Drosophila melanogaster: one gene and its partners. The protein of the gene in region 3 interacts with the protein of the main gene of each other region in a pairwise test. Each region holds a gene or a part of one and is shown on either strand. Other genes may lie near its edges. The genes, in order: Ttc1, CG42493 and CG4313.

Region 1 (10,960 bases), on a different chromosome or scaffold from region 3:
GCCGTGGAGAACATGGGACGGTGGTGACTACTGCGCGAACTGCTGCCACTGCTGTTACCACTTCCGCCGCTACTGGATGCGACCATTGTGCCACCAACAGCGTAGACGGGAGAGTCCATCTGTCCAGGAATCTCGATGAGTTGCGCAATCTGGTACATCTTCTTTTGTCGCGCCTTGCTACGACCCTTTGTCAACCTCTGCTTGGCAGCCATGCAACGGATGTGATCGTCGAACAGGAACTTAGCCGAGAGCAACGGAGTGCGGTTGTGAGTGACTCCGCCCCGGTGCACGGTGATGTGCAAGCAGCGCGAGTCATCCTTATCACCCTGCACCTCTACGTCCTGCAGAAAGCCAACGAACTTTGCCACGCCCCAGCCAAGCAGCTTTGCATCCGGCTCGACGAGAATTAGCTGCAATGCGTCAATGACCAGAAAGCGTCTTTGCTTGCTGCTGTCCTTGGCCACAACGGTGCAGGCTATTAGATCACTATTGTCTAGATGGATAATGGTTAGCCTTAATATATACATACATCATCGTAGGAGGAGTATACTTACTCAGATCGAGTACGTTCTCCACCTGAACCAGATTGACTACATTTGTAAGCGGCAATAGCGATTCCTTCTCATTCAAAAACTTTTGGCACGTGCGACGCAGCAGGAAGTAAACGCGAATGGCTCGGCGTGCCTTTTCCACCTCCCCGCAGGGAAGTCGTCGCGTAAAGTTGATTCCAGTAAGTGGCGTTCCCGTGGGAGGCAGTAGAATGGTGGAGTCCATGCACAGGAATTCCACGTTCAGTTGCGCCTTTCGCATCTCGTTGTATTCGTCTTCGAACAGGTCTAGGAAGATGTCCTCCGACTTGTAGAAGTTACGGATCACCACCATCGACTGATTGCGGGCGCTGAAGAGCAGATCCTGTTGTGCGGCGGTTATGCAGCGCGAATCATCCGAGCTGGGACGGGTGAAAGTGACCAGTAACTCCAAGGCAATCTCCACGGTAATCAACCGAATGCGGGACGCTTTAGGGAATTCAAATGGAATTATTAAAGAGCTAATGATAACCGGAGTTCGAACAGTTGTACATACATGGCTGACTGGACTGGGTGATGATGTTTAACAGATGCTCAATCAAGGCTGTCTTATAACTGAAGGCGCCACGGGTTGATTTTGCAAGAACCTGCTCGAACCACTCATTCTTGATGCCTATATGGAAAGGTACATAAAGATATTTATTAAGGAGACTATGATAGATGCATACGATTGATTAGTACGGGCAGTGGACGAGTTACATACCATCTGAACGGATTGGGACATGTACCAGAATGTGACATTTTCATTACACACAAAGAAAGCAATTAGAATGAAGCAAAAATGGGGTGATCAGAGCAATGGAAAGTTACACAACATTAGCCAAAAAAAACGTCAAATTGAGTTAAGGGAAATATCCATGAATATTACCTCTATTGTGCGACATAGCATATATGAGGCACAGCGACAGCAGGGCAAGGTAATCGTTTTCGGTGCAGTCCAAAGCATGCAGGACCGTGTCTAAAAACGGTTTGGCCATCTCAGCAAAGTCAGCCTTCGTTGAGGAAGATGACTTCTGCAGCAGCTGCTTTTCCTCGTCAGTTATGTTGCGCAGTTTAATCTGCTCCGCTTCAACCGCATCTGCTTGAGAGTCCAGTTCTGTGGTGGCTGGGGATGAGGACTCCACGCCACTGTCCTCGCTAAGGGCATAGCTGGACGAGCTGGACTGACCGGTGACTGTATCCAAGGCCTGTTCGAGACTCTCGTCGGGCTCGCCGAAGCCAGGCACAACCACCTCGCGGTGCTCAACGTATGAATTAAGAATCTCGGCTGCACCCTCCTTAAAAACGCTGTGGTCACCATTGAGGATAACCCAGGCCAGAGCGTGCACCAGAGGGGCATGCGAAACCACCAGGAAGACCAATGAGAGCAGGAAAAGGGCCACGATGGAGCTCACTCGCGGATTGTGCATCTCCTGTATGTCGATGTCCACATTGCGATTAAGCACAGCAGCTAGATTCTGGGTAACCACTGCCAGTGAGGGCGGGGGCGGAGCTGGTGTAAGTGAGAATATGTACAGAGGCACGAATAGCTTATGCAGCAAGTGCTCGGTTAACACCGCGTTCAGATCCTTGATTTCCAGTAGAAGAATGTCACTCAAATAATGCAAATGATCCAGATGCTCGGCAACCAAATTGGACAGCTTTTGATTCGATTGATGGCTGCGGATGAATTAAGAAATCAATACTATAAAACGAGGGACTATATTACAATAACTCTTACTCTATATCTGTGCGAACACAAGTGTCTAGTTCAAGAATGTGTTTGCCGATAAACCAGACCAGATTACTGAAATATGGAGCAGCCGTTCTAGGGAGAAAAAAATAGTTTAATGGAGCTCATGGGACTGAAGGCAAAGGTCGTACTTGTCTCGAATAAAACGCAACATGCTTGGATTTTGAACCTTGTAGACATTTAAGGAAATGGTGCGCACTGCAATTCTCACCATTGACTCGGGATGATTAAAGAACTTAATAGCCTCTGTATACAAGGGAAAGTCATTTGTGTGCTGTAAGGAATATGTCACATTAAATGGATGTAAATATGTGTTTTAGGCAATGCAAACCTCATTGTAAAAGAAGTGTATTGTGTGAGTGTTTAACTTTAGACTTAGCGTCTTTAAAAAAAGTATATAATAGCCCATCACATCCTCGTCGGAGAAGTCAAACTTGTGCACCATGATAGAATTTACATGGTTGTTGCTCAACAGATAATCTGCAACGTCATAGGAATGATTACGTCTACTGTATTATAGAAACTGTTGAAAATTGTACTTACACAGGGACGTCTCGTTGCGTATGTTCTCAAAGAGGATGTTGAGAGTCTGAAGGAGCTGCACGCAGACGAAACTCGAGCCTCCACTCTTTTGTCGCATTATGTGCAGGAAATACGATAGCATATTCTTCTCCAAGAAGAAGCTGTTGCAAATAATTAGATTAAGGTTTATTACATTGAGATGCTTAATACTCACTCAAACACCAGCGAGTCATGCTGGTCGCCCCAAATCAGGATCTCTGCGATGCAGCGCAGCGACTCCACCAGCAGGCCACGATTACTTTCCGACACGGTGGTGTTCTTCTCCAGAATGCTGTACAGGTACTTAAGGTGCTCCAGCGACAAGCGGTTTTTGGGCCGCCCACCCCAGGGTCCGCCAAACCAGCTGCGACTCCGGAACATGTTGGCAACTAGGATGGAATCAACTGGCCACGATCCGCCTGACTGCTCTCATATCAGGGTAAGGAGGAGTGCGGGAGCGCTGTTCTCTTGGATCTTTGCATGCACTACTGCTCACGGTCACGCCACTGGGTTGGCCCACAATAAGGGGGCACCTAATGCCTGCGATTGCACGAATCTAATATTGTAATTTGCGAATGGCGATTTTTTCCAACAAATTGCTCTTCTTCTTCACGGGGAACACAAGTGTCACAGTCAGCTGTTGCTTCCGCCCATATTTATGGTTATCGGTATCGAAGTAACAGAGATGACAAGTGGCTATTTTGTTGTGATTGCATGAGAACTGCGACTGGTTCACGACTTTTAAAAACCTCTCAAAAGAACCGTTTGAATTTTGTAAAACCAGACAGTAAAATTTGGAACAAACCTCATATATTAATAGCATATCACACCATGCATTTTACATTAAATATAATTAATGGATTTTTTTGGTACCGTTTGTTATGAAAATGGGTTCACATTTGCATATTCTACAGAGGTGAAAATGTACGAGAACTGAATTTGATACGTTTTGCTACAGTTTGACTATTATTTTACACATCATCCACGAATACGGCTTTATTTGTTGATCTGCAGAGCATTAGCTAGCTAGGTTTTTATTTAAAGTTGATGGAATACGAGCCCGTGTTGGGATCCTGTTGCATTTGGAAATTCTGTGTAGACAGTCCGAACGGTTTGAGTATCATGTTGCCCAGGTCCTTTAAGCTGGACATCATCTCGTTTTTGAGCTTCTCGTTGCGCTCGTTTATAATTGGCGGCAGCCGAATCTGAGCCTCGCGAGCCTCCTGCTGACCGGGATCGATCTCAGTAACTTTTTTGTAGTCCTCCAGAGCCTCGTCGGGCTTGTCTTCTTGCTCATAGAGCTTGGCGCGCCTGTAAGATGTAATTAGACTTTAGAAATTTTAAGGGAGATATTAAAATAAAGACCTTAAAAGCACCCTCACATACTCCGGCCACAGTTCTATAGCCTTTGTGCAGTCGTCGATGGCCGCTTTGTTGGCCTCCAGCTTAATCTTGGCAGCAGCCCTGTTTCCGTAGAGAACTGCTCGCTCCTTGGAGCTGGCCGAGGGGCAAATGTCTAAGGCTTCTGTGTAGGTCTTGGCGGCGCCTTCGGCGTCGTCATTTTTGAACAACTCGTTGCCCTCAACTTTCAGCTTATCGGCCTTTTCTTTGTTAGCTGTCAGCTGCTCTGGGCTGAGATCCTTCTCCCGTTCGCGCAACTCCTCAATGGTTAGCTCAGAGTCCACTGTCGTTGGTGTCGCGATGGAATCTCCACCAGCCGCGCCCTGTTCCGCTTCGTCATCCAACGCCAGCTGGTTTTGCTTCTCCACGATCTCATCCACGTCCTTTTCGCTCTGCCGCGTGCTGGTGGCCTCTTTTTCGGTTATCTCCTCCCCGATCGCATCATGGAATTCGTCGTCACTGTTGGCGTTGCCTGCCATTCTTTTTAAAATTGATCCTTACCGAATTTACTGGAGATTTCGGTTTGTTGTTCAGCAACAAATAAAGCTCCTCATGCTAACGATAACTGTGCATATCGATAACACCGATGTCGTACAGTGTTGACAAAGGTAGGTTTCTGATTAGGTACCTTCCCAAGCTAAGAAATGTTAGGTACAGATAATTTTTAAAACAAATAATTTAAGGATAATCCTTAATGTTGTATTTGGCAAAGATGAAGACCAATTTAAAATAAACATTTAATCTTTTACAGCTTCCCTTGATAAGGGAAGCTGTAAATAAACTCTTTCCAACACTACCGCTTGTTAACGATTTGACTGCTGCCCATGCGAATTGGTAAATACGGGAAAAATGGACTTAGGAGCTTATAAATTGAGTGAATACATCCCCGCCAAGCCGCTGGTCGGTAATCTGGAGTTGTGTTTCACGGACGAAGAGCAGGTGAGTTAGGAGCTACCGTGAGAATAGCCTTTTCAAGCCTATCTTTGTAGAGACCCACCGAAACATGCGGCCAACTTAAATGCTGCGATATTTTAAAGTTCCCATTCGCCCGCCCTGATTTCCAGCCAAGTTCAGTGGAGATAAAGGAGAGCAAGGTGCTCGTGTCTGCTGATAAGGCTACAGAGACAAAACGCGTGGTGGAGCTGACTCTGGAGTCCACGTTCGATTACCAGCCCGGGGATACCATTGGAATTTTGCCTGCTAATAAACTCGAACAAGTGGAAAGTCTGCTCCATCGGCTGGAACTGTTAGACCAGGCCGACACCACTTGCCACTTAAAGTTGGTGTTCAACTGCGCCAATAAGAATGCTAAGCTACCCGCCCACATTCCAGCAACTACTACTCCCCGGGAGATCCTTACCCACTGCCTCTCCCTTAATTTTGTTCCGCAGAAGCAGCTCCTCAGCGCCCTGGCCGGATTTACAAGCGATGACAAAGAGCGTTGTTTCCTGTCCTGTCTGTCCTCTAAACAGGCCACCGAGTACTACCAATCGCTGATATTAGAGCAAGGCCTGCTTTTCATAGACATTCTTGAAGTGTGCGTCAACTGCAGGCCACCACTGGCATTCCTGGCAGAGCACTTGCCACGGCTGCTGCCGCGACCGTACTCCATTGCCAACAGTCCCTTGGAGGCTAGTAATCGCGAACTTCGCGTTATCTACTCGCTGCTCAGCCTCAAACCTGGAGTCACAACCAGCATGTTGGAGGCGGCTGCACAGCAAAGCAGTCCGGAGCATTCCAAAAAAGTAGTTATCTACCCACGAATGAGCAACCTATTCCGTTACACAGAGCGGGATGTGGGCAGAAACCAAATACTTATTGCTGTTGGCACAGGTCTGGCGCCTTTTCTTGGATTCTTAGCCCACAAGGAAGAGCTTATAAAACAGCAGCCGCAACAGCCAAGCGGGCAATCCTGGCTCTACATTGGTGCCAAGACCCCAGAAGCAGTTCTTAAGCGTGAAAAACTAATGGAGTGGCAGGAATCTTCGTTGCTCGAGCGCCTACGGATGTGTTACTCGCGAGGCGAATCCCCCAGCTACGTGCAACATATGTTGGAGGAGGACTGTGAGGATCTGGTCGAGTTCCTGATGAAGTCAGAGACTGTGTTGTACATTTGTGCCGATGGCGCCAAGATTTCGCAGTCCATTGCAGGTGTTTTAAGTCGTTGCTTGCAGAAGGCTATGCATCTCACTGAAGAAGAAGCTTCGCAGCTGTTAAAAAAACTGAGGAAGCAGGACAAATACCGCGAGGATGTTTGGCTGTAATGGACAAGTCTTAGGTGCAGTCAAAATAAAAGCTTCATTAATTAAGCCCTATAAATAAATACCTTAATATATTAGTCGTTTGTAACTCTTACAGAAAATTTGAATTTTTAGTGTGTTTGTTGTTTTTACGTACGGTTAAGGTCGTTTATTTTCATAATTGAAAATAAGTGTAGCAAAGGAACCACTTCCACTGCTCATTTGAGTAGCTAATGTATGCAAGTATTTGCACTCAGATGTTTGTAAATCAATTGCTATTATTTTAACTGCAGCCTCAATGTAAATAATTATAAAACAGAAAGCTTTGGTCGAATAAGTAAATAACGATATATTTAACAACACAAAATAAAAATTACAGTGCAAGGTAAACTAAATACATACAATTGTGAGGGCCATCTTCAATGATCGAAGTGGATGGGGACGACTACGTGTACTAAATGGATTTGGGTCTGTGTATAAAATTGACTTAAGTGGTAAATTGCAAAATATATCTAAATAATGGTAGAATATAGATTACGACTTAGGTTTCAAGCAAATTAAACGTGCACACATAAAACATAAAACGTATAGTAGGGTTTGCTCTTTGAATTTAACCGATTGGTAAAGCGCTAATGTATCGTTATTGTTTCTCCGCTTCTCTAAATATCTAGATCTTTTTATTTATTATACTGTTTACGTTTATTTTGGCAAGTCGTTTTGACCTTGCACAATAATATGCATTTTGTATTTTATCTACGTTTAAGTTTAATTGAAATAGAGCCAATTCTTTTAGTGTATACTAATATAATTACGAATCGATCAAAATTGATGTCAGCTTCTTCTTTCTCCTATTCGTCCCTTTACATTTGCAATAAAAGTTGCGTATAAAAAATTATGCTACTTTATGTTGTTCTTTGTTTGGTTTCAAGACTTAAGTTCCATTTTACATTTACGTTTTTAATTGCAAATTTTGCGTTCGTCTTAAATGCGTTTGCGAATATGTAATGTCGGGTATGTTTCGGTTTCCAAAAAGGCAATCTAACCCCGTTTCTACTGCCCCAAAATACTATCCGTTCGTTGCCTTGCCTAATACTCATTTAAGCTAAACTAAGAAAATCAAGTATATTTTCGATTAATAATTAAGCTCTTTAAAAATTATGAATGCATAATTGTAGGCCAAATATTGGGATTTCATTTCGTATATAAAATTTAACTATGAACCGATCTGCAGCAGCAGCAATCCATTTTCCCTATTAATATCAAAATTGCAAGTAAAATATAATCCCTATCGGTAAGTGTATATATAACAGATAAAAAAGCTAACACCGGCTGGCGAAAGATCCTTGAATGCACTCCTTTTTTCATTCGCCTTCGTTGTGTTTTCGTAAAATATCTGTAGTCTGGCGACTAGCCCACAGATATACTTTTCGAATAGAACTTGTGGTGGTGGGAAATAGCATAAAATATCGAACTGAGAGGATAATGGAAAAATAGGTAGTTTAAACCTTCTTCAATATATTCTCTTCGGCAATTGGCATTGCTTATGATTCCCGTTGGGAGTAGGTTTAGTGTACGTATACCACTTCTATATGATCTATATAGTCTTTCTAGGGACAATATTTCAATATTTCACTTTAGCTTTGACACACACATTACGGCGTTAAATAACATCTCTATTGTGATAGGGGCTTGTATAGAATTACAATTTTCTTTGTGCGTATGGCAAATATCTCCAAGGAAGGAACAAGGGAATCTACTTTAATCTGTTCTTTTGTGGCGTTTGGTTAGTCTTACGTTTGTACTAATTAAAATGGAATATCGAACATTTATCCCTCAATCCCGTCCACACTGCGAATATCAGCTAATATACATACAAGCTCTGTCTAGCTGGCTCTAATTAGTTATCTGTTGCATCGATATCTGTATTCTATGGGAAATGCATAAATTGTGGAGATAATCTTGCTGTGTGTCGCTTGCTGCTGCTAGCTCTAGTCCTAATGGCACTTGTTACACTCATTTCGACTTGCTATATCTATCGCCTTCGTTTTGTTTTGATTTTTTTTTTTTGTTTTTTGGTAATGTACAACAAGTATTGCATGTTCTCTGTTAGGGTTCGTTTGCACTTACTGACTACGACGAATTTTATAAAGAGTCGCATAATGCTGATTTGATAAAATCGCTTAAATCACAATTATGTATATATACGGGTATATAAAGAGTAATCAAACTTATGTCCCTACATTTAATAATACAGTATCTATGTATATCATATGTGCGTGTTTGTGTGCGTTGTTGAAGTAAGCTAATTTGCCATAGGACAATCTAATCTAAGCGATAACCCCGCCCCCCTGCCATCGATGAACTGCTCGAGCGATGCGATATGGATCCACGGTTTGGCGACGGTTTCCTTCGAGTTTTTCGGCCCCTGCTCATCTCTCTGTCCTCGCTGACTCGTGCTGCAAAAAGAAGAGATAAAATCCTATGATTACTTATTGTTGTTAGGTATTCAGCTCGGTTTACTGCACTACAGAAGAGCAAAGGGGCAAACAGGGAACGGGATAGCGAATAATTAACACATCGACCTCTAATAATTGTCATCACCCTGAAATTCGTTTATGGGCCCAAGAATGTACAATTATGTGCACTGAAATATATAAATGGACTTGAAAATTACAGACTTCGATGCTTGCACTAAAATGTGCCACGAATACAAAGTATGTTAATTTAACACATTAAAGTGGTTCTTGCAGTTGGGAATATATAAATATAAGTCCCACAAAATGAATTCATGTAACATCATTAATTTGCATTTATATAAGTGAATACTAGCAAGTTAAGCTCATGGTTTTGATATTGTTAAATGCCATGTTTTTAATATGAGGTCGAGCACACAATTTGTTCGGGAAGCGTAAGTCAAATGAGCTAATCAAACAACTTTTTCCTTATCGGCGGGCCCCTTATCACCGCATTTGATATAACCAGCTGATAGCTGGCCAAAGAAGTCGTTAAAAATAGATCGCTACACTCACGACAGGTGAAAGGACCTTGGGTAAGGGGGTTCGAGGCCAGGTGAACTGCACATTATTAATAATAATGCATTATCAATCCCATTTTATGGCGCCCCTTTGGATGTGTTATATTTGGGGGGCATCTGCATAATCTTTTGGCGTCATTCGCCCGTTTTGTTCGACCGCCTTCCCCGCCCAGATATCTCTGTTGCTGAAAAGAACTATTGTTATGCCATGTGAGAGCGGAGCACGTCAATTATCAGCACAATAATTGGTTATATTTATCAGCATGTGAAGCGGCACCCGCTCCAAAGTCACGCTTCGATTTCAATGAAACACGGACTGTCGAGCTTTTTCAGTTTTCCCCACAATTTTCCTTTAACGAAACCAGAGATGAGAAAATCTTAATGCCCAGATCAAAAATACATTTTAGGTATTAGAAATTTCATATTATAAAATAAAAAATATTTTCAGTAACAGTGATACAACAATCTCTTGCTGTTGTCAGTTGTCTTGTCGAGCTAATAAGAGCGTGTTCCAGATGCAAAGAGGGTCAAAAGAAGTTCACGTGTAGATCGTGTACCATTGCCTGCGAACATTACATTGCAATCCACTGAGTGAGTGGCTCCGCAAAAATATATATAATTTTATTGCGAGTGTACTTGCACCGAGTACGTGTGTGTGAGTGGATGAGTATGTCGCAGGCATTGGAGACTCTGACAAAACATTCGTTGGCAAATGCTACTAAAGCCAGTGGATTCGGATCGGATTCATTATAATACACAACTTTTGCATTGTTGGTTTGCATGATCAGCGCGGGGGGTGGTGGGGTCGTTTACTAAATCATCCCCCCTTAGCGGTCGATGGGAAAAATAAGTCGCTGGCGCAAAGTAATGAATGAATCATCTAAAATTCCGCATAGCTACCAAACAACAACTTGTGTGTGTGGTTCAGTTCAGTAAACGAAACACTTACTCACACACGCAGGGAAACAGCCGAAAAACCTTTCGAGCAAGGTGAAATTATCATTCGACGGCGCCGTTCGAAATCGAACTATATGTGAGTGGTTTAGTCATTATTTCTGGGTCTCGGGGCGTCGCTAGACCATTTTCAAACGACTCTGGGGATTCATGAGGCCCTTTCACTCACTAACGCACAACTGGATGCACAGAGAAAAACCATTACTTTGTCTATTAATGTGGAATAGATAACAGTGGAAACATACTTTCAACGCTAAGGTACAATAAATAGTTATTTGATGTGCTAAATAAGCATATTTTGCAGATACTCATAAGTATTTTTATCAGGGATTATTCACAGGTTAAGCAAGTATTTGTTCAGTGTAGCCAGCTGTACTTTGCCCCAAGATCGAGGTTCCACGCCCAGAAGCCAGAATGGAAAACGAAGAGAATGTTTTAGTTTTTGCGCAAA
Region 2 (10,268 bases), on a different chromosome or scaffold from region 3:
CCACAAAAAGCACATTTAAAAGGAAAATAAATGTGTGTAGGACAACTGGCGACTAGGAAAAGTTACGAGAAAGGACAGCTGGAGATGGAAAACGGGAGTGGGGCAATCTAAGACAAACAGTGTGCGGATTTATGGGGTCGCTTTGGGTCGAGTCGCCGTCCTCAGTCGCATGTAAGAAAAAAAAAAAACGGAAGCGGAAAGACGCGAAACTGACACACAAATGTTGAGCAGAGGGTCAAAGACAGGAGGGGGGGGGCGCAGGGGAAGCTGTCGAAAGGACTGCCAATCCTCCCCTGCAATAGAGGCTACACTGAAACCGATGTAGCTAGGAAAACATTCTGAAATATGAATCTAATTTAAAATGAATCATTGTACTCAAAAATATGACAATTAGCACCATATAGTGGATATAAAATTCGAAACACTATTACTGTGACAAAAATATGTGTCTGTTAACAAGAAATTATTTTTTCAGCTAAAAGAAAATAACATGATATGATAAACTCTTTTTTCAGTGCACTCATCCTTATGCGTTCTTCTTGTTCTTTTTTGTTTGGATTGGCAAACGGAAGCGAATTAAGTTGCCTTATGCGACGAAAGGGTTCAGGACACAAGCCCTGACCGCCGAGATATCAAGCTCCTGGGGTGCAGATCGTCCTGGGGTGAAATTGATATGCGAACCCAGACAGATATGTCCCAAGAAGCCGCAGATACAGTATCTTGTGGCCTGTTAAATGTGCAGAAAATTTCAGATTTTAATGATCCACTCGGTTATCGGATTTTCAGCGCCCCTAGATTGCTTACGTCTCGATGGGCGGGCAATCGCAAAGAAATGTGTAATTGCCACGGCTCATTGCATAAGCGGTACAACGCGGCGGATTATTAATATTTGCCAACTTGCCTGTGGCAACTCAATAGATAATCGTTGCGGCAATTTGTTGTGAACGAAGCCAAAAATGTTGTAGTGGATTGATTTCCTAATCTGCATTAGCTTTACGTCATAAAACAGATTCACAGTTCGCGTATTAAATCAAATTGAAAACACAAACGAAATGACTTCTTTCCTTGACCACACCGATTAGATTTATTTGGACGCGTTTCAGACTTTGATTTAGAACAATGAAATTCCTTCTGCATTCGTTCAGATATTTGCTTTTGAACGATGATAAATCAATTTTCGCTGGCAAGCAAACCGTGTATACTTCATATTCACGGAAATTCTCTTTTTCACTTCACTTTTAAATTCCTCATTAGAGGAGCGTCCATAAATTTTTTATTTTCCAAAAGGCCACTTAATCTAGGAATTAATGTTGTCATTCTGCTGGTTTCAAAGTGAAGTTAAAAGTGAGAGTGAACGATTTTGCTTGTCAGCTGACAAGGAATTAATACCCAACGAATATGAAAATCTCCCCAAGTCAAATAGTGAGGTAATCAACAGTTAAAAACGCAGTCAAGGTCCAAACAAGGTGAGTTTCCCGAAAAATATAATTGAATCTATTTATAAATATCTTATTAAAGCATATTATTTCACTCAAGCTTGCCGCTTTTCTCTTTTATTTTCTCGAAATGGGTGTGACTAGCTGGGTGTGCAACTGTGGCAAGTGCAACGCCCACCTGGCAAAAGGGCAATTTGTTGCGCTTGGTTGCGCGTGGAAATTATGATTTTTGCTTTTGTGAAAATCTCATTAGGCGCTGAAAAAGGATGCCGATTTTTGTAGCCATAAATATAGGTTGCTTGCCCGCGATTTGCAGCTCAACTTTAAACGGCCATCCTAGTGGGTCCGCCTTACGTGGCGTTTTAATTAAGCTCAGCGTTTTATGGATACCTTCTTTAATGGCACCGCATAAATTCTAGAGGAGCCAGTCGGCAGCTTGGATCAGGAGTTTTAGCACTCCGACCCCGATTCAGATCCAGGGCATAAAACGCACGGCAGGCAGTCGGAAAGTGAATTTTATGCCAATCATTAAACAAAGTTGTGAACAACAAACCAAACTCAACCGCTTTGTATCGGGAGTTATGTCGTTGATAACTTTATCCCCAACTTTGTAGAGCGAAGCAGTGCGGATCGGATCGAATCGGGGGAGCTCCTTTCCTTATCGATTGCCTGATAAATGTTTGACACAGAGTGTGGGCTGCACTCGAGGAGGGTGTCATTCAACTCAACTGCAACTGTATCTGCTATGTGTAGCTGTATCTGGTAAATAGGTTTTATGGTTCTCTAAAGACCTGCTTATTATAACTGGATGTTAGTATAAACATGGGTTATGGGCTCAAGCGATGACTCACCGTTGCAGTAAACACTGAAGTGGACTGTGATAGGAAACATTGTGCTCTCAATTGGACTTTATATTTGTCACTTATTCATATGTACGAAATACTTATATGATAATGATTTTATTCAAAATAAATATTGTGTAAAAGGAAATGGGTGTCTAGATTATTTCTAAATAGCTGCTGCTGTTTGTAGACGTTCAACAGACATACGTTCAAAGTATTAGTCATCTATACAAAGTGACACATGTATCTTAAGTAAGTGAATATTTCTTTAGAAATATTATTAAGGAAGTGATTATTTGGATACCCTGTTTCCTGCTTTCATCACATACTTAATTAGGGGTCACTTAGGTGTGACTCATGCACTAGGAACGCCGCACTACTTATATAAAATCCCACCAGTTGATTTTGGGTATCACTAGTCCATCGGATTATCCGTTAATATACGATTTAATTCATAATGAATGCGTGACCATAAGCTGTTCGTGATCGGCGCTGATTTGGCTCATTTGTAGTTAAAACGCTTTGGAAGCTGATTTACTCGTCGAGTTTTTGCATATCTCATGAGCAGCATGAAATCCGAATGGGAAACCGAATGATTTATTTGCAAATGCAACATCGAAATGCACTCACAAAATGAGCTTTTAAGTGGCCGGCCCTCGACTTTCGACTTTTTTGTTGTTTTTATTTGGCCTGTGTTGACTTCACCCTTTTTGGGGGGAAAAAAACCGAAAAACTCAGTGGGAACTGTCACCAAGTGCTCCACATTTGTGTGTAAAGCTTATTAAGAAATGTTTATTCCGCCTTCTGTCTCGCTCTTTCTGGGGAGCCTGCTTCCCTCTCATTTTTATCGAGTTTAATGGATTTTTAATGAGTCTGAAGCGGGGCTTTTGACGGCATTTTCGGAAAGTGCAGTTTCATTATCGCTTAATCCTGTTTGCCTTTCAGGAAAGAGGAAGACAAGCACACAACAAGCGACGATTCAAAAAGGGGAGGGTACAGCCTACTGAGTTCGGAAAAATGATCAAAAATTGATATTATCGGTTATTTGATTTAATGCATAAATAAGGTATTTAGTTCATATAATAAAAAAAACTACTTATACTTTATAAATCGAATTTATTGCCTTTTGAATTAAAAAAATGCTTACATTTGAGGCATTTTAATCGCTATCACTACTAGTTGATTCCTCACTGGAATCGGATGATTCCTCCTGAGACTCAGCCAACTCACTATAATAGGACTTCACCACGATCAAACAGTATCCGAGGGCAACTTAAATGTAAAAATGTTATAGTTGGTCATAACACATCCAATCCCAACAAACATACTTATTCTAAGGATTAGCAAGCTATCCAACAACACGGTGACAAGGGTGAACAAAAATACCATGTAGTTTATCAACAGCCAAGTTCCGATTATCAAAAGTTTGTGCTGAGTTTAGAAGGATTTTTGAGATAGGATTTGCTAGATTTCGCATAAACTCATTCGAACTCACGTAAAAGACGGCATAGATCAAAAGAAAGTGGTTGGTCATCATCAACCAGAAAACGGTGGCAAATCCGGACACACAGATTCGGGTGTCCATGGTTCTGAAGAACTCGACCACATAGTCTGGATATTTGTTTCTGATAACCATGTCCCATGCAATGCTGCCCACGATGAAGTCCGTGAGTCCAAAAGCAATGCCCACAGTAATAACGCCATATTTCAATGGCCAACAATACAAAAATTTTCTTAAATGCATATTTTCTGAAAGTCGGTAAAACTGAAAGATAATGACGGAGCTCTTGGTTTTTATTTTGGATTAGAAATTATTTTGTTTTCTATTCAAAGAAAATATTATCCAGCATCACAACTATTGTGCAAATTTTGAACACAATTTTTTTGTTGCATACTTTTTTTTAAGAATCTTTCAAGATGTCTGCGATGAGAGATGTAAACATTTATATCAACCTCTTCCACATTATGCTTAATTCTTAATTAGGTTAAACAATAACACATTCAGAAATTGTGCACATGTGCGACTCGAATGAATAAAATTGGACTCGCATAGATTGGAGGCCAAGAGTCCATTCGAAACGGAATCACCTGTCGGTGTAACGAGTGTCCAGCTAACTGAAATTACAGTTAGTGGTAGCCCGTAATCCTACACACTCGTCTCTAGTATTTGGCCATCGGCAGTTCCGAGAATTCTAGTTCTGTAGACAGCAATTAGATAGACAGAGACAATGCCAAACAAATCAAGTCAAATACAATAAACGCCCTGGCATTTTATCAGCTCCAAATCAGACATAACATCAGCCGCCGGGGCTCTCGAGTGTCGGGCCCTCAGATCGCCAAGTTTTGGTTTACAACGCAAAAGCGACAAGAAGCGAAAAAGGGTTTGCCTGCGTGAACATTCTTTGATCAATCAAGTGACGCGGAAGCGACACAGATAGCTGATAGCAGATAGCAGTTAGCATTCCTTGCCTTCTTGGCCTAGTCATGGCTAAAATATTTGGCCAAAGTCTGTCAGGGACTTGCATAACGAGGGTACACAGTTGAGACCCCAGTGAGGGTCGTTCGCCCGGATCGATCGATAAGGGAATTCGGCACTGCAAAATGTGCGATCGAGTGGAGGCATTGAGTACCCGTACTTCAGCCCAATTATCGAGGTGGTATTTTAATTAGGCTGTGTAATCACAGCTCAGCTCAGCTCATCGAGGCCGTACTGTATTAGCCAATTGACCGCAACTGTACTCCTGCAACAGTTAGCAAATGGGACTGACCTATCTTACACTGATAACGATCGTGGACAGCGAAGGTTCTTTTCATTTTTGGAACCAAGGATCCAAAATAGACCGTGGCGACGGTCAACTGGATTAGAGTCAAGCTGAACGGATCGGTTTTAAATTCCCCTCCCAGCGGAAATACCCAAAAATAGCATCAGTTGCCAATGTAAATTTAATTATGGTCAAGCTTTAGGTATTATTTGCTTTCTTTTCGGTTCCTCACGTATGATTATATTAGCGGGGCAAAATATAAAAATACAAGGTTAAAGTGCTTCTAAGTACAGTTGAGTCCGCCACGCGTCGTTTGTTATCGTTTTATCGATATCGCCGAATATGTTGCTTCAGTTGTTAATCCAAAATACAACATGGCATTTGACAAGCGAACTAATTGATTTGATTCTCGTGCCGTGGGGTTGCGCCAACAAAATGCGCCGATTGCAAAATCACGCATATAATCGACGCCATGGTACCCTGTGAAAACGGGAATGAACTAAAAGTATGTTTTTCGAATTGAATTGCATTTCTTATAAAAAATACTAATATATAGATTTAAATTTATGTTTAAGATTTAAATTTGTATTTTGTTGAATATATATCCATCCAAAAACATGGTGGAATATTTTTGGGTTCATGGTGAATATTTGGAATTCCTTTGATATAAATATTTACATTAAAGATCCCGATTAAGACCTCATTTACCTTTGCAAAGCTCATTACGTCTTCAAATTTAGAACTTAAGCTCACTGGAATAGCAAACCTATTGCTAAGTTTTGTTTTTGCACAACGGAATGTTAAACATTTTCGACTTATGGAAACTAAATAAGGTCAAAGAAAATGACTGGATATTGGCCCACGGAATCCAGAGTTGCTCAAAAATTTGGTAAGGAAAAGCTAAGAAACTGCCTGAGTAAGTAGACCTACAAACAAGTACCAGTCTTTTGTATCTGTTGATAGACAAATATAATGCTTCGCAATGTGGAATATTCCGAGAGCCTTTTGGGTTCTTTAGCCGACAGTTGCCTCACTGATAAGACAAAATGCGTTTTGCAATAACGGAACAGCTTTATAAGCCCCCATGAATAGACCTATTTTCTGTTTGTCTTCTGACGACGGGGCGGTCTATGGGAGGGCTTCGCCTTGCATGTTACAGGAAATAAACAACAGGCAGTAATTATGCAGCACAAACAGTGGTGTTTATAACAGTTTTCCAGCCCAGACGTAGCCAAAACACCAAATCATGGTAACTTGCATCGCATGGATATGGCATGTGGCATATGCCATATGGCACATGGCACAAATCATCATCATAAACAGCTCGTCGGCTGTCTTTCTTCGCCGGGTTCTGTTGTCAGCACAATCACAATCACAAAAAGGCCGCCTGGCGCTCAACTGCCCGCAGAACGCTCCATAAAAATTGGGGCGGGGATACACTGAGCGGAAGTTTGGCTTGCGATAAAAGCCAGTGGAAAAGGGAGTGTTCTCTGTGCATATAACCCAAAAATAAAGCCCTGGTTCCTGCGGGGCCTTTATGAGTTGCAAGATGAGATGGTATAATATGCGGAGTCAGGGGATCTACAATACAAGTGGGTCACCTGCGGTTGACATAAGCTATTGCAATGACAGGTGGTAGTGCTCGGGTTGGTCGCACTGCAGTGAAAGTGATCGTGGGGGTTCCCATTTTCGAAGCTGGAATACTAGGAGCTCCAACTTTAGAACTCAGCTATTGGGTCGCGAAAATCAATAAAGAGTAGAGAGTTCATTTAAATGTAACTATTTATAATCAAGAACGAAGAATAAAATAATCATAAACAAGCATACAAACAACAATTAATAATGATATAAATTAAATTATTAACTTAAATCGTGCAAGCATAACAAACTACATATTCAAGAAGCTGCTCTATTAAACACACCATTTCAAAAATGTTTAAGTATGGCTATTAAGTACAAATATTACCGGAAGACTCTTCGTTAAACAACAACCATTAAAATTCCATTTCGCGATAATTCCACCCAATAAAAACGCTCCCCAAAACAATGCTTCCGAAACCCCGAGCAGCAAACAAAAACCACCTGAAAAGCAATCGATTATCACTTTTGATGTGCTGCCAAAAAGGCGCTTATCTAAGTGCGCAAATAGCTGGGGCTAAGCTTTTTCTTTCCACACGCGGCGTTGGAATTTCGCTCAGTGCATTGTCAGTCATTCAATGCCGCCTTTATCGCCTTTGAGAGGGCGCCAAAGGCAGAGAAATGCGTGTCAGATAGGACAGTCCAAAAGGAGCCCCCTATCTCGTATTATAACAAATAACAATAATATGAAAAAATAATTGTGTCTTTTTGTTTGCTCTATATGTCAGCTGGAAGCGCCGGCCAGGTGGAAAAGGTGCTCCACGAACTCCGGAGGGCCTGTGCTTAGCCTTCCCCATTTAGATACAGATACAGATACCCGCCGCACTGCGTCGATTGGGCTGTCAGTATCTTTATATTAATCAATAAGAGCAGCTCCGATAAGATTGTGGAGCTCCGTCTGCTGCTGCTTCTATCGAATGGGGCAAAGTGGGTGGTGGGTGGTGTAGGCTGGTGGCCGGAGGACTGGGACACAAGTGGGTGGGTGGATATCCTTCAAGCAATGTCCTATGACCCCATGAACATGGTAACCAAATTGATGTTACACTGAAGTTTTATATTTTATTCAAATACAATACCACTACAATTTGTTGGCACTAATATGACCCAGTAAATAATAATAATAATATATATGTATTAAACATAAGCAAGTTTTAAATCATGAAATTGTTTAATCTAACGTGCATAACATCGTAGTATGTATACTTTATTTCTATCAGTGGTTCTGATAACATTCCCGACTGACATTCGCCAATTGATAAAACCATTGTTTGTGCAGCATTTATTAATGTATAAATTATATAGTTTGGGGCAATACTCCTTGGCCAGCTGCCAGCTAACTTGGCCCACTGTGCTCCATCAATTTCGCGTGCGCCAATAATATTTACATAAAAAAAAAAAAAACAAATATTCGCCAGACCAATTTGTTATTCAAAGTAATAACAGCGAATGCCCGCAAAACATCTGCGCAGTAAAGAGGCTATCTTAACGTGTCATTTATTTTAATTGGTCAGCAGGGTAATTGCTAAAAAAAACAATAAGCTTATATAAGGGCCACAGCATCACGGCACCCAGTTATCCTAGTCTGAGTTTGTTTGTTTCTTTCAACCACGTTTAGATGATTTTCGGTTCAAACCAGAACATCGATAAGAAACCAAAGTACATGTCTGGCCAAGTGCGACCGTATTAAATTTATATAAGGTTGCGCGATTGGCAAATTACGGACGGTATTTATACCATTTTAGAGATATGATAGCGATGGGATAGGCTAGCAGCGATTGCTTTTACACTCTCCATACAAAAGCACCGATTTCTGGACGATTAAAAGATGGGATGTTTATCTGTTGGATATCAATTGAAGAACATTCCGGCAATACGGCATCGATGTCAACTTAAGTCCGAGGAAGCATTTAATCCCAGGAAAAGTGCAATATTTACCCACACATTAATAGAGTCAACAGCGGCAGATTGGTGGAACAAAAGGAGGACTTCACTTTGAAAGCGGAAATCGTGGCGTAAAAGTCGGAAAATCGCTTTACAGCGAAAGCCTTTTATGTCTGAAGACCAAATCGATACCACAATCGAATATTTTGCCGGGTAGCATAAATCAAAATCACTGACAATGTCAAGAGGTCTCAACTGCGCCTGTTTTCCAGGAATAGAAACGAAATTTACGACTTGGCTTCGGGATCATATCATGTTCATATCATATCACATTATGTCCAGATAGCTTAGACTGCATGTCCACTTCACGTATCTCAAAGTTTTTTTTTAATCATTTGTCTGGGCCAGCATTGTGTATCCACGTTTCAAGATTGGCAGCTTGATTTCGGAATGTATCTCGTTTTTGGCATCTAACAATGTGCAGTGATACACACAACAGTAGAGAGGCTATTTAAAATGAAAGAAACATGACCTTTGGGCAACCCTGAGGCTTTGGGGAATCCCATTCGCTGTGACAATTATCATTCACCCCGATACCACCAAAAATTTGTGGCATTCTTGAGGTAGCCCGATTTATCAATGCCAGTCAGAGTGATTATGGGAAACACGTTTTATTCGCACTCTCCTATCGCAAAGCACGTTTTTAAAACGCGACGCGAAACTTTCCGCTGTTGACCAAAACAATGCCGATCATGATAACGATCATCAATCCCAGATATTGAGAATAACAATAACAAGTTAACTGGCTTGGATATTATGGTGGCCTTGGATGGATTTCCATAACGAGAAAGCCCAAACCAAACTCGACCCGCAACGAAACTCTTATCTGGTAAATGCAATTAGAGACCGAGACTTACATACATTTAGCTCTTGGTATTTATAGAGGCAATACCAAGAAGTATATGTTCTGGGCGTATATCTTTCGTACACCTTTCCTTCTCGACTATCACCCAGTCGCCAGAGGCCCCAGTCACCAAAAGCGTTTCTGCCTCCCCATCTATTGACAATTCAATTAACGTTTTGAAATAATTTCCTGATAAGCGTCGCTGTTTTTGGGCTACGCAACAAGAAAAAGGAAATTAAACAGCACCCAATAATACCACGGCAATGGTTAACTAACCAATAAAACAAGAACCCGATCTGGCGAAGGTTGGTGGGGGTAAAGCCAAGTTATCACTATTTGATCCATAAACGTGTTAATACTAAGCCACTAAAAAGAATATGGTTTATACAAATGCATTTAAGGCTTCAAACTCAATAATCCATATTTGCCCCTTCTAACATTATGCCTTAACTTATATTTTCTAAGTACGTACTAATTTATAGACGAAAATCTTGGCGGAAATTAAGAAAATGTAAGTCATGTGATATGATCCTTATATACTTTAGTGGAAACTTTTACCAACATGAAGTGAGTGCTATCTTCTTTTCATTGATGAACTTCAATGTTTAGCAAAGCAGATTAAATGGCTGGGAAACGCGACGAAGCAAGCTTGATAACATAACACTCAGGGAATTAATCGGTCAAGCCGGTCTAGAAAAACCTTTAATATTGCATTAAAAACGTAGAGATATTTTTTGTAATGTACGCTAAAAATTTGAGAACTTATGTTAATATAACATGAGTAAGATTGGGGACTAGTATTTGA
Region 3 (12,502 bases):
GGATGCTGGTACTGGAGCCCACAAGGCGGTACACCATCGACCAAATCAAACGCCATCGCTGGATGTGCCCCGAGCTGCTGGAGCACGTCCTGATAGCCAAGTACAATCTGGGCGCCGAGCGGCAGACGTCCGTGGAACCCAGCGAGGACATTCTTCGCATCATGGCCGAGTATGTCGGCATTGGGTCGGACAAGACGCGAGCCAGTCTTAAGAAGAACACTTACGACCATGTCGCGGCCATATATCTGCTCCTGCAGGATCGAGTTAGCCACAAGAAGGAGCAGAGCAACGGCTTAGGCGCCAGCGCCCTTGCCTCGTCGACCTCCGCCAGTCGGATGATCTACAGCTCCAGAAATGACCACCAACCGACGCAGCAACAATCGCAGCAGCAGTCCAAGACAATATCCACCAGCTCGATCCTGGCCAAGGATCAGTGCCACAAAAGACTTAGCCGCCATCAGACGGTACTCATGAGTGAGCGTAACGCCCACGCCGGCGCGACACCCACAGTTCCAGATCCCGGTCCCGGATACTACGCCAAGTATGGCCCACTGCAACTGCCACTGCCTCTGACGGGCCACTCCCACCTGACTGGGTATCTGAATGGAGGAGGCGTCGAGGTGGATGCCAGCGGCATTCCGCTGCCCATGCGGTACACCCCGCTGCCGACAGCCGCGTCGCCCGCTCCCTCTAACTGCTCATCCACATCCTCGAGGGTAGGACGACACAGTCTAAGCTCCAGCTCGCCGCGAAGCCATCGACCGGTGGCCATTTCGCTCAGCATCGACAACAACCCCTCGCTGGCCAACCTGCGGTGCAGGGAGATGATGGAGGCTGGAGGAGGACCCGTTGGAGCAGTGGGTGTGCCTCTAGCGTCCAAGCAGCTTCATCAGACCATCAGCGAGTTCATCATCAAACAGAGCACCGAAGACTGTCGTGCGCTGCTGCAGCAGGTGAGTTTTCGGCTGATTCTATCCCAAGTTATTTCTATCCTTATACTTTCGGCAGTCCACAGCAGTGGCTGAGGGTAAAGATGATCCGCCAAAGGCGGAATCAAGCGTAGGAGGCGTTCCTCCGCCCGCCTCTACCACACCCACATCCAGTACAGCGGGACCGGAATCGGGATCGGCTCCCTGCCCTGGTGAGATTAACGGCAAGACAATAAAGACTATGTCCAGCTCGAGCAGCTTCGATTCTAAGGCCAATTTGGGCCAAAGCTTTCGCTACAAGATGTCCGCCGAGGCCAGCAAGCTTTTCCAGACTCTCCAGGAAAGCCCACTGCCCGTGGAGGTGAGTGATACGTGTGAGTTAATAATTGCTTCCAGCTGACAAATTCCATTTCCTCTCCAGCAAAGGACTAAGCGTCGTGTGCACGTGGGCAGCACCAATGGCAGCGGCGGTGACTCCGGCCAGGAAACGAATGATGCGAAATCGAATGGCGACAGGTGAGTCTTGCAGTCACAGCGATAGTTTCTTGACTAATGTCGTTTTCTTCCGTTTCCGCAGCCGCTCGGAGAAGAAAGTTCTGGCCCAAGGCAGCTCCAGCACAGATGAGGGCTGCGAGACAGACCAGGGCAACGATCCGGGCTCTGCTTCCCAGGAGTCAAAGGGCAGCAATGGCGGCGGTAGCGGTAACGCCAACGGCGGACCCACCTCGCACTCCAGCAGCGATCTGACGCGGCTCGTTGGAACCACTACCTCTGGACAGAGTCACAAGATGCGCTCGTATGCCAGTAGTAGCTCGTCCAGTGGCGTTCTCGCCGGGAGCGCTGGTAGCTACTCCAAAAGTCTGAGCCAGAACCTGAGCCGCGGCTCGTCCAAGAGCAATTGCAGCGGTCCCTACGATAGCTTGGACTTTGCCTTGCCTTCTGGCAAGGGCAGTCTACCCTCGTGCATGGGCTCAAGTTCGATGCTGGCCACGCCCACTCCGGCCTCGGCATCGCCAGCGGGAATCTCATCGGAGCATTCATCGGAAAGATCGCTGTACGGGAGCCACAACTCCTGCATCCATATGCCAGGAGCTCTGCCGTTGGGCTTGGGCCTTCCTCAGAGTTCAGCCTCCACGCCCACGCCGAATCCTACGCCTCCGCCAAATGGCGGTGGTGTCACGTTCCTGGACAAGCGTTCACCCATACACTTTCGCGAAGGAAGACGGGCGAGTGATGGCCTGGTGGCCCAGGGCCTGCTTAGCTCTGGTTCCTTGCTGGGCACCAGTCGTGTGTACGGAAGTTATCGCTACGAGCAGGCCAAGCGTCACGGTTGGCTGGAGATCCAGCAGCTGCAGCAGCTGCAGCAGGAGGCGGCTGTGGGGCATTCACACCCACATGCCCATCAACATCCGCATCAGCATCCGCATCCTCATCCCCAAGCGTACGGCTTGGAAGAACTCTGTCAATTTCCAAATGGTCAATTCTATGCTCTGCCGGGCAAGCATCATCCGCTGCTGACTTTGCCCCATCATCATGCGCATCCTGCGCAGCATCACCATGGCCATCATTCGCTGTTCCATTCAGGCCACCAAGCCACACCTCTGCTCCTGGAAGCCGCTGCTGGTGGGGATATGTATGGTCATGGATGCTATGCTCCGCCACCGCCGCCACCAGGGCTATACACGCACCATCAGTTGGGCGTGGGTATGGCCGTGCCCATGTCCCCGATGCAAAAGCCACCGCTGCAGCAGCAGCTACTGCAGCACCGCCTGCTTCAGCAGAAGCGTCAGTTGTTCCAGAAGCAGTACGCACTGGAGGCGCAGCTAGCCGGTCGACATCACCACCATCAGCAGCACAGCCATCACCACCATCACCACTTTGGCCACAGCCTGGGTCCGCCACCGCCGCCGGCTCCGGCTCCGGAACATCACCTGGCCGACGAGTTGTACGAGTTGGCCTTGCTTGATCGGCCCAGGAGCGGAACTCCTAGGCTTCAGCACTCCATGACCATGCCCGGAGCTCATGCCTTCAGTCAGATGAACCTCAAGACTTCCTACATCAGCCAATCGGACCAGGTGCCTGGTGCGGCGCCTAATGGAGCTGGTTCCGGAGGATCAGCTGCTGGGGTATCATGCTCAGCTCCACCGTCCACGGCGCCGGGTACGCCCACGGTCAAGTGCAAGCCTACCACGCCCCACGGTCACAGCCTGGACTCCGACTATCATGTAAGTAAGCTAGATAACGCATATTAAGATGATTTCTCAGGCATCCCAAGTTCGTATATAAACCTTATCCGTTTTCTCCTTGTGTCCTCCGCAGACATCGACGCCGGTGCTCAGCCTTTTCACGCCCAATTGGCAGTCGCTGGTAAAGCCGCTCAGCGAGAGCCCCATCCTGGAGATATCGGAGCACCTTGAGTCAGTCTGAGGCCGTGTGTGATGTTATTCGGTGGAGGGGTTGGGGCAATTCGAATGGGAGTAGATTTGTAAGTGGAAGTCGGTGGGAAAGGAAAAGGGGTAGGACTGGACATCGAACTATAATGGGGGCTGGACCGGGACCGGGGCCACCTTTTTATTAAGCTCGCAATCGCAATTATGAATTATTTGATCCATATACGATATACACCCATACATACATATAAATAGCCTATATAGATATGAATGCGGGTCGGAATCGGAATCGGAGTTACATCGATTCACGTTTATTGGAACCGATAGAATCATTACCGAACCGGGCGAAGCAGTAATATTGAATGATTTAGTTGTGTTACTAGTCTTAAGTAGTCCAAGTTTCGTACGCATATACGCAGACATATACAATATGTATATTGATAATAATAGCGTTAAGCTATAGCTCTACTTATGATTACACTATACACTATTGTATTGCCCCCACGACAGTGGACGAGAACAACGTAACTACATATATCAATTATTCGAAGCATTTATTGGGGGCATAGAAAGGGCGTATCCATATAAGGATATATCTATTATGTATTGGTACAATAATTAGCGACAAGCAAAGAAAAAAAAAACAAAATTTAAACAAACATCGATTGTTCTTAAACATGGAATTCAAATGTAAACCAGATATTAAAGTCATTTGGTATAAAATGCAATATACTTCTGGAGTTCCTACATTATATAGATATAGATATAGATATATATGGGTGATCTGTGTTTTCGTGTGTGCGTGGAAGGGACGACCGGCCGGATCATGTGACTAGAAATCTTTTTTGGAGGCACTATAATCACCAGGGGATCAAGGAATTTTTTCTTACCGCAGATCATTCAACATGACATTTGGGTACTTCTCCCATCGTATTACTACCATATGGCACACATATATCATATCCCGCTAGGACGGAGGACGATGAAGGTGTTAAGGCATCTGTCGGAGTCACGTCGTGGCCTTCACCTGCCGATTGGACTCCAGGTGCTTTCGCTTTGCATTGGCCTGATTCCGCTGCTTCTGGGTATCTGGAGAGCCATGGCAGCGCAGCAAGTTCCAGTAAGCTCTTCGGTATTCGGAGCTCATCAACACGTAGATCAGCGGGTTGATGCAGGTGGTCAAGTAGATAAGTAGATAGCCAGCAATGTTGAACCAGTGCACCTCGGTGGCGCTTTTCCATATTTTGGCCACCGTGATGGGCAAATAACAAATTACAAACCACACGAAGATTACCAGTATCATCTTAAGCAATCTCCGGTCCTTGGCACTCATCCTTCCCGGGTAAATAGAGGATGCATTTGAGGTATTGCCCATGGAGGCGTAGTGGGATTTCCGCGGGCTAAACCGTGTGAAGGAGGTGGTGCGCAGGGATGTAGTGATAGGGTTCTTTCTGGAATGGATTTACGCATTAAGGTTGAGTGAAATGGCAAAGAAGCCTTCAACAGCTACTCACCCATGGGTTTTGCCCATCTCTAGTTGCGTTTGACTGCGTCCCAGGCTGACCTTTTCCTGATCCCGATCCCTTTCCTTCTCCCGCTCCTTGAGCACCACATTGGCATCAACAGGCGGTGGCTGCTGGTCCTGATCCCTCCTCCGTATGCTGTACGAGATCGGCAGACTGTCCGTCGAAGCATTGTCATCGATATACGCTAAGTTTTCCTCCACCACAAAGGGTCGTCCTGCGATCGGTTCGTTCGCCTCGCCGCTGGACGTGGTCACCTTCTCCGGCTTCTTTGGTGTGGCCATGGCTTGAATCTGATGCTGCGGCGCGGAGCTGGGAGTCACATCGCTGACATTGGTCTTGCCAGCGGTTCCCGCGCGAATGGCCGCCTTTCGCACCAGCAGGAAGATTCGGGCATAACAGATCACGATGCAGATGCACGGCACCATGAAGGCGGCGATGAAGAGGAACTCCTTGGGGGATCTACCATACCGATCATGCATGATGGAACACGAGCCGATGCTGACGTCCAAGCCAAAGATACCCCATACGCCCCGCCAGGTGGGTATCATTATGGAAAACGTGGTGATCCATGTGCCGGCTACCATCAAAGCCAAATATCGTCGCTGGTAAATTCTGGAAGAACGGATTTGAACCAGTGGGAATTGTATTTTGTACCATGTCTAATTTGATAATAATATATGCTCATTGTATTCAAATATATTATTTTAAGATATCCGTAGCTCACGAAAATAAAAACTAGCTAGTTATTTATTTCTCCAGAAATATTGTAGTTCATATTTTATAAGATATTAATTTCCGTTCAGTTTAATTGTTTATTACGAAAATATTGAGATCGCTGAACCGACCTTTTCTATAGCATTTGCCTCTAGCAAGTAATGTTCTCTTTTTTAGTTAATTAAAAAACATCTACGAGAAGCCATACATTTTCCTTTTTATAAACAAGTTCAAAAGTTTATAAGTTCAGAAACACAATAACATATGTGTGGGTTTTTTTCTCAGATTAAGTGGTAGGTTACCATGCGTATCATAATAAACAGATAAGCACCAAGAGGAAGAGTTGGGCACTCTGAATACCCTTCAAGATTTAGGCAGGACATGCCGATATGGGCAGGCCCATTCTCACCTTGGATACTGCCTGGGATGGGCGATAATGATGTACCGGTTGATGGTGATCAGCGACACGGAGAGCAGGGACACCGCCAGCAAGCCGTAGCGCAGCATCGGAAACAACCTGCACAGCAGATCACTATGGGTCCACGCCCGCTCCTTGAAAGTGGACGCGGCCAATGGCAGATTAAAGCAGCCAAAGAGTAGATCCGAGCAGGACAAATTGATTATGAATATGGCCGTGGAGTTGCGGGTTTGACGACCTCGCGACAGGGCCACTATGGTCAGTAAATTTCCGGGAACGCCCACAATGATGAACACTATGCAGGCCACCCAGGCGATGGTCAGCAGCTCGTCCGAATAGCCCTCGAAGAGCACCTGGCGCCTGTCGTCTACATTGAGATTAAGATTCATATTCAGATTGAGGTCCACGTCCACGTCCAGGTCCAGGCTGTCGGAAAGGGGTACCGGCAACACCGCGTCCTGATCCGCCATGTGATCAGTAGCATAGGGATCCGAAAGAGGCAGCGCTATCGAGATCGGATGCGGAGTTGGTCCGGATTTTGGTGGGAACATCGCGCGGCACTTTGTGTTCGGCAAAAGACGCGTTGCTCGTTCCTGCGCCGAATTTGTACTAAAACTGAATTCTCCGCATCCATACACCGACATGGTTCCCACCCAAAAAGTGGGCCCGAAGGCAGTCGCCGCCAGCCAAGCGTACAAAATATTGAGAAAAAAAAAAAAAACAGCAGGCGAACTAGAAAAACTTTCAAAAAGGAAAACAAAAGAATCTCAGAGCAGCAACAGCAGCAACAACACACATTTTTATTGTATACAACAATTGACTTCATCATCGGGTAATTTGGTAATTTGCGTGTGGAATGGGCGCTTTGTTTACATTGTTCCTATTCGGTGTTGTTTCTTAACCGCCCTTCCCGCCCCATTCCGCCCCAATCCACTCGACTCTTTCGCTCTTTCGTCGATATTCTGACGGGGTCATGTTGCTGTTGTTGCCGTTTTTCAAAGTTTCAGATACTAGACCAGGGATACCATTGCCCAAAATGGTTCGACGTTTTAGCTACATACTTGAGCATTCCGACAGCCAGAACATACATACTTGCATTAGACTAGTCTTTGCATCAGTCTGGTGGAATATAAGTCATGAGCAGCATGGGGAAAGTTATCTGCATTGCTAACACAATTCAAGACTTATCACTTGCAATGAAGTAAGAAGTTCCCCTCCTTAATTGATACCTTGACCGATACGTCTTGGATGCTTAAAAAATTCGGTGTGCCAGAGGTTACATGAATATATTGGGAATACAATGAATAAGCTCCTACAGATGAATCGAGTCTATTCGTAGCCCTGATTTCGGGCCATACGCACCTCTCCGGCATTTTTGAAATGAAAAACTTTTCGGTTCCTGGGTCGTGTGCATGTGTGTGTGTGTTTGTGTGTGTGGTTGCATAGTTTCCTCTGGCAATTTTCTGGATAATAAATGGGCGGCATCCATTCGAAGCGAGGAACTGAAAAAAAAAGCAAAACTTTTGCGAGAGGGACTCATTCGAATAAATATGCCTATAGATCGAATTTGTGCGTAGAATGAATACTCCAGTCATGGGCGATTAATCCTGAATCATAACTCGAGACTATGCGTTTTTCACGCTCTCATAACCCGTTTCGAATAATGAGTCAAACCCCGGAAGCCTGGTGTCACACGACGTCAGCGTACATATGTAGTCTTAATTAATCAAGCCAATATGCCGGGGGAAACCTCTCTACTTTTCCGAGGGTCAGAGTGCGGGTCGTCTGTTGGGTCGAATTGAGTATTGTTTGCCTTTTGAAAAGAAAAACAGGCGGTTCTAGGGAAAACTCTTTGGCAACGGCACGAATACGAATACGTTGTTTGTTTTCATGCAGGCCAATAGTCCGGGAATTGCAGCCGACTACCCAAGAAAATAACATTCAGTTCTTGAGGAAATTAATATAATTATAGCGCCATATCGCATTCACTTAAATGACGAGAAATTTTTAAGTTTAAGATCCTAGGAACTGGATGGAATACAATACGTGATAACGAAACATATGGCTCATCCTCGTACTTGCGAAAACATGCGTTTTCATAAAACAATACAAGGCTTTATCGAGCTTAATCTAAACGTATAATCCCATCATTTTTTAAGAAATTAAAAGTGCACTATCCTTGCGCCCACCACTGTACTTGGAAATGCCTGCGGGATGGGCATAAAAGTGGAAACTAAGACCTCCCCCCCCCCCCCACTCATCAACCATTCTTGATATGATTGTGAATACGATTCGAACGCCAATCGACGCCCGCTTCGGATTCGAATTCGGATCCAGAGATCCAGACTAATGTAAACTTCTCCGGCGTACTTACATATACGCCTATACGCATACGCACACGCACGGGCCCATGTTTAGATAGCCATAAACTATCGTGTTCTTCACACAATCCGCAGCAAACAACAAACAATGAGAGTGCGCACAAATCCCTACGTCTTCAGTTCGATATCTGCACCGAAAACATTTATTACCAGGTCACAGTTCCTAATGCGATATGTGCGGTAGCTCCAACCATCAGTTCCTTACCATGCGACAGACCGTTTTTCCCAGTGCAGCCATGTTGGATCGCCTCGATCGATGTCGAATGTCCAATTGTGTAAACATTAGAATGCAGACACATGAAGCCTTATCATTGCACATTTGCTTCAGTGGAGAGAGGAAGCAGAAGCGGCGTATCTGCGATATGCATCTGATCGATCGGCAACCATTGAGCGGCCTCCACCCACACCCGCCCCTCGGTCGGTCACCAGATGGCCGATGGCTGATCGCCGATCTCCGCCTCTCTGTCTGTCCCTGTCTGTCTTCTGCGCTGTCTCCGGCCGGCGGGCGAGAGTGCGGGAGTGCGAGCGAGCAAGAGAGCAGAAGAGAGCGCCAAGTCGTGGGGGCAGTAACAGGGGCGCGCCAAATGAGGGGAAACCTGACTAACATGGAGCGCAACTGACGTGCGTTCAGACGGAATATCTAACGAACGGAGTATACCCTCCCTCAATCAGTTCCCTACGCCACTGGCCGGCGGCGGAGAGTCATTTAGACACTAGTTGAGAGTGAGAGTAAAGAGTGAGAGGGGGCTGCCGATTGTCAACTGGCAATATCGCGACTCGCTCTACGCTGCCCGCACTCGACGAACTGCACTCGATCCGGCAGTTATAGACGATCCAATACGATCCGGCACGAGAACGCAGGCGCTACGCAATTTGTCCGTTACATTCAACCAGTACGGATAATAAACAACGAAAAGTAACTACGATTTCAGTTCGACTTGAGTGACATTCGATACGATACCGTTGAAGCAGTCGCGAGCGTGTGCCTATTTGTTAGATATTTAATTCGACTGTTCCTTTTTGTTTTTGTGATTATGTCAAGTGCTGAGTTAGGGCAACCTGTAACCCTTTTATTCTCTACCTGATCTCGCGATTCAAAAGCATTAGTCATGAAAGCTGGTGCGACTTTTGAATCACCGACAGCAGCAAGCAATAACAAAAACAAAAAGCAATGCTCCAGTGGCGTCCCCAGAGCAACAATAAAAAACACAGCGATTCATGAATAACCCCAGCAAATGCCGAATGCCGTAAACTGTTTACATTGCTAACAGCATTACTCACTCACTCTTTCACCTCGCTCAACCTGAGCGAAAAAGAGGAAGTGGTGGAGTAAGAGTTGGAGAGGAGTGGAGTGGAGATCGGAGTTGGAGAGAGTGGAGAGAGGAGCACGACAGGGGAGCAAAGAAGAGAAGATCGCAACCGCACTAGTTTCCATTACGTGAGCAGAAAGCAAATAAACAAGCGATTTCGATTTCCCCATACCCAGTTCCCAAGTCCCGCCACTGTCCATCCTCTCCTCCTGACCACTGATAACGCGTCCGTCAGTGTGGTGCGGCACACGACTTAGAGGGAAGAGGAGAGGTTGAGGAGAGTAGAGGAGACCTAGACACGGAGAAAGCAATCAGGCCAAGAGGAAGGAGAGAGCGAGAGCGAGCCCAGCGATCGTTAGAATTACTAGAATCGCAGAGGATTACCAAATAGCGAAACCAAATTCAGCTAGGTAAGTGCTTTTTTGATAAGATAAGGAAATATTCTAAATTCGTATGTGTATGTGTATGTGTAAGCGAGCCAGACACATTGCGTATACGCCCCGTCGGACCGTGCTAAGTGGCGGCCGTGACCTGGTCGGGGTTAAGGGGAACGAGGGCAGCTGAGGGCCACAGAGGGCAGAGCAGAGGCATATCAATGCATGTACACAGAAAACAAATGCGTTGCACAACGAATTCGAAAACGTTTCAGGCATAGGCTAACGATTGCGTTAAAGATTCCCATACTTAATATAAGGCCAAACCACACCTGACTGCGTTGCACAGAAATCGAAACAGCGACATTTCCGACCAGTGCAGAGAATGTTACAAGAACATAACACTTGTCTCGATTAGCGGCCACTCGAGCGGGAACAGAGAATTACCATCGCATCACATCACATCACGCATTAGAGACGCCCGGAGACGACCGTCTCCGCCAAACAGTCACTCAATTAATTAAGGTTCGACGCTGATCTTTGCACCCCGAGTGGTGCAAACTGCTGAGGCAGTAGCCACCACTGAAACTACTACCGCCGAGCAACTGAAACCGAAACAGAGGCGATTGTGACCTCTTTAAATTATTTAATTGACACTAATTTATCATAGTCCCGAGGAAGCAGAAGGGGTGCCACGCCCCATGCCGGGTTACGGGCCTCGGACTCCGGCTGCCGGGCTACGGCTACGAGCGTTGCGTCGGCGCGAAGTGCAGTCAGCGCCAGCGGTTTTTTATTTCTTACCAGAGCCTGAGCCTCCCATGTGCCACAGCCACTGCCAGTTGGCAATTGTCGGCGGTGGCGATCGGTGTTCAGTGATCGGAGATCGGTAGCGGAAAACGTGGTGGTCATCAGCGAGGCAAGTTAGTCAGAGACCAGAAGAAGTGCAGACCTTAGGAAGTCGCGAGCTCGAGAAATTCTTTTGCCTTAAAAAAGGTGAATCATTGTTGGAACCAGCTTCAACACGACTCTCTTGATCCCTCAATGGGCTAGTATACTAGTGATGAGCTCCTTGTATTTATTCTTCAATTAATAGGGAGTTGATTATTGAAAAACGAATTAGTATTAGAATTCAAATAAGCAATTTATCATATATGTAGATATGTAGATATCATATATGTAGATTACGTTTTGGGACAAACAAGAATAGCCCGAAGAATGTACACATGAACCTAAAGTGCACAGGAATGCAGGGTACGGCGATCCCATTCAATCATCCATCATTTGGGATACCGGAACTTATTCCAAAAGAATATAAACATTTGCTAACCCACTGATAACCTTGACGGTCGTGATTTTGTCCAAAAGGATGATAACGATCAAGTTCATCACACTAAAGAGAAAAGTGTATCTCAAATAAAATGAAAAAGTCTGTTCATAAACACAAGCAGTTCATTTAATAGTTGTGCTTCATTCCAGGAAAATAAAATGATTCATTTGTAGGTAAAACACTTGGTTGAGTAGTCTATCAAGCTTACTTGATTTCCATAGTTCTAAAAGTCCGATTTTTTCTTTTTTATTCTAAAGCATGAGTGATGAGACAACTATTAGCCTGGAGGACGGCTATCCCCCCCTGGAGGCGTTGACAACTATGGTTCCCCCGGCGGACGCGACTGGGTAAGTTGGGGTGTGGATGTGTTGACAGTATGCCAAGTGGGTGCCAAGTGAGATGTAGCTATCAGCACTGTGTAATTATAGCCCCCGGCTGGAAGTGGTCCGATAAGAGATCGTTAATATTACGCGCTCCATTGCACCAGTGCTGATCGCTGGGCCGGCCCACTGACAAAGACGGGTGATTCTTGTAAGTGGCGAGCGAGCGGAAGCCAGTCTGATATGGCGATAGGCACAGGGCCATTTGACTTAAGAGGTCGAGAGACCTCAGACTAGAAGGATCATTTCAGAGAAAACATCCTGATTGACGGCAAAAGCATTTGGATTTCTAATATGGGAATATTAATATGTATGTGCCATATTTATTTGCAGTTTTTCGCAGTCGCTTTTGACATTTGCCGCGGTCATGACCTTTCTCATAATGATCGTGGGCATATGCGGCAACCTGTTGACCGTAGTGGCCCTGCTGAAATGTCCCAAGGTGCGCAACGTGGCGGCTGCCTTTATCATCAGGTGAGTTGCTCCTAGCATCCTTCAGAGAACGCCTAACCTCTAACCTCTTAAAATACACCCCATCTAGCCTCTGTATTGCCGACCTGCTCTTCTGCGCCCTGGTGCTGCCATTCCAGGGTCTGCGGTTCGTCCAAGGAACCTGGCGACATGGCCAGGTGCTGTGCCGCCTCATTCCCTTTATCCAATACGGAAACATAGGGGTATCCCTGTTGTGCATCGCAATGATCACGATCAATCGGTATGTGATGATCACACATCACGGACTTTATGCCAGGATCT

The links.
Region 1: the proteins of CG4313 (region 3) and Ttc1 interact in a two-hybrid assay, tested with the Drosophila melanogaster proteins (one large-scale study listed by BioGRID).
Region 2: the proteins of CG4313 (region 3) and CG42493 interact in a two-hybrid assay, tested with the Drosophila melanogaster proteins (one large-scale study listed by BioGRID).

Annotation. Positions count from the first base shown.
Region 1 is NT_033777.3:16,438,158-16,449,117, forward strand, and holds Ttc1 (tetratricopeptide repeat domain 1), read right to left. Parts: upstream 4,851-10,960; 5' UTR 4,761-4,850; coding exon 4,246-4,760; intron 4,192-4,245; coding exon 3,915-4,191; 3' UTR 3,686-3,914; downstream 1-3,685. Other genes in the region: ema (endosomal maturation defective), read right to left, coding at 1-493, 555-1,016, 1,084-1,200, 1,456-2,246, 2,308-2,394, 2,451-2,593, 2,651-2,799, 2,863-3,002 and 1 more; CG14882 (uncharacterized protein), read left to right, coding at 5,131-5,220, 5,271-6,545.
Region 2 is NT_033778.4:11,772,346-11,782,613, reverse strand, and holds CG42493 (uncharacterized protein), read right to left. Parts: upstream 4,089-10,268; 5' UTR 4,023-4,088; coding exon 3,774-4,022; intron 3,710-3,773; coding exon 3,607-3,709; intron 3,551-3,606; coding exon 3,438-3,550; 3' UTR 3,379-3,437; downstream 1-3,378.
Region 3 is NC_004354.4:2,046,772-2,059,273, reverse strand, and holds CG4313 (uncharacterized protein), read right to left. Parts: upstream 6,591-12,502; 5' UTR 6,529-6,590; coding exon 5,969-6,528; intron 5,458-5,968; coding exon 4,834-5,457; intron 4,771-4,833; coding exon 4,329-4,770; 3' UTR 3,860-4,328; downstream 1-3,859. Other genes in the region: Sik2 (Salt-inducible kinase 2), read left to right, coding at 1-953, 1,009-1,290, 1,351-1,445, 1,507-3,154, 3,249-3,356; moody, read left to right, coding at 11,628-11,716, 12,083-12,223, 12,291-12,502.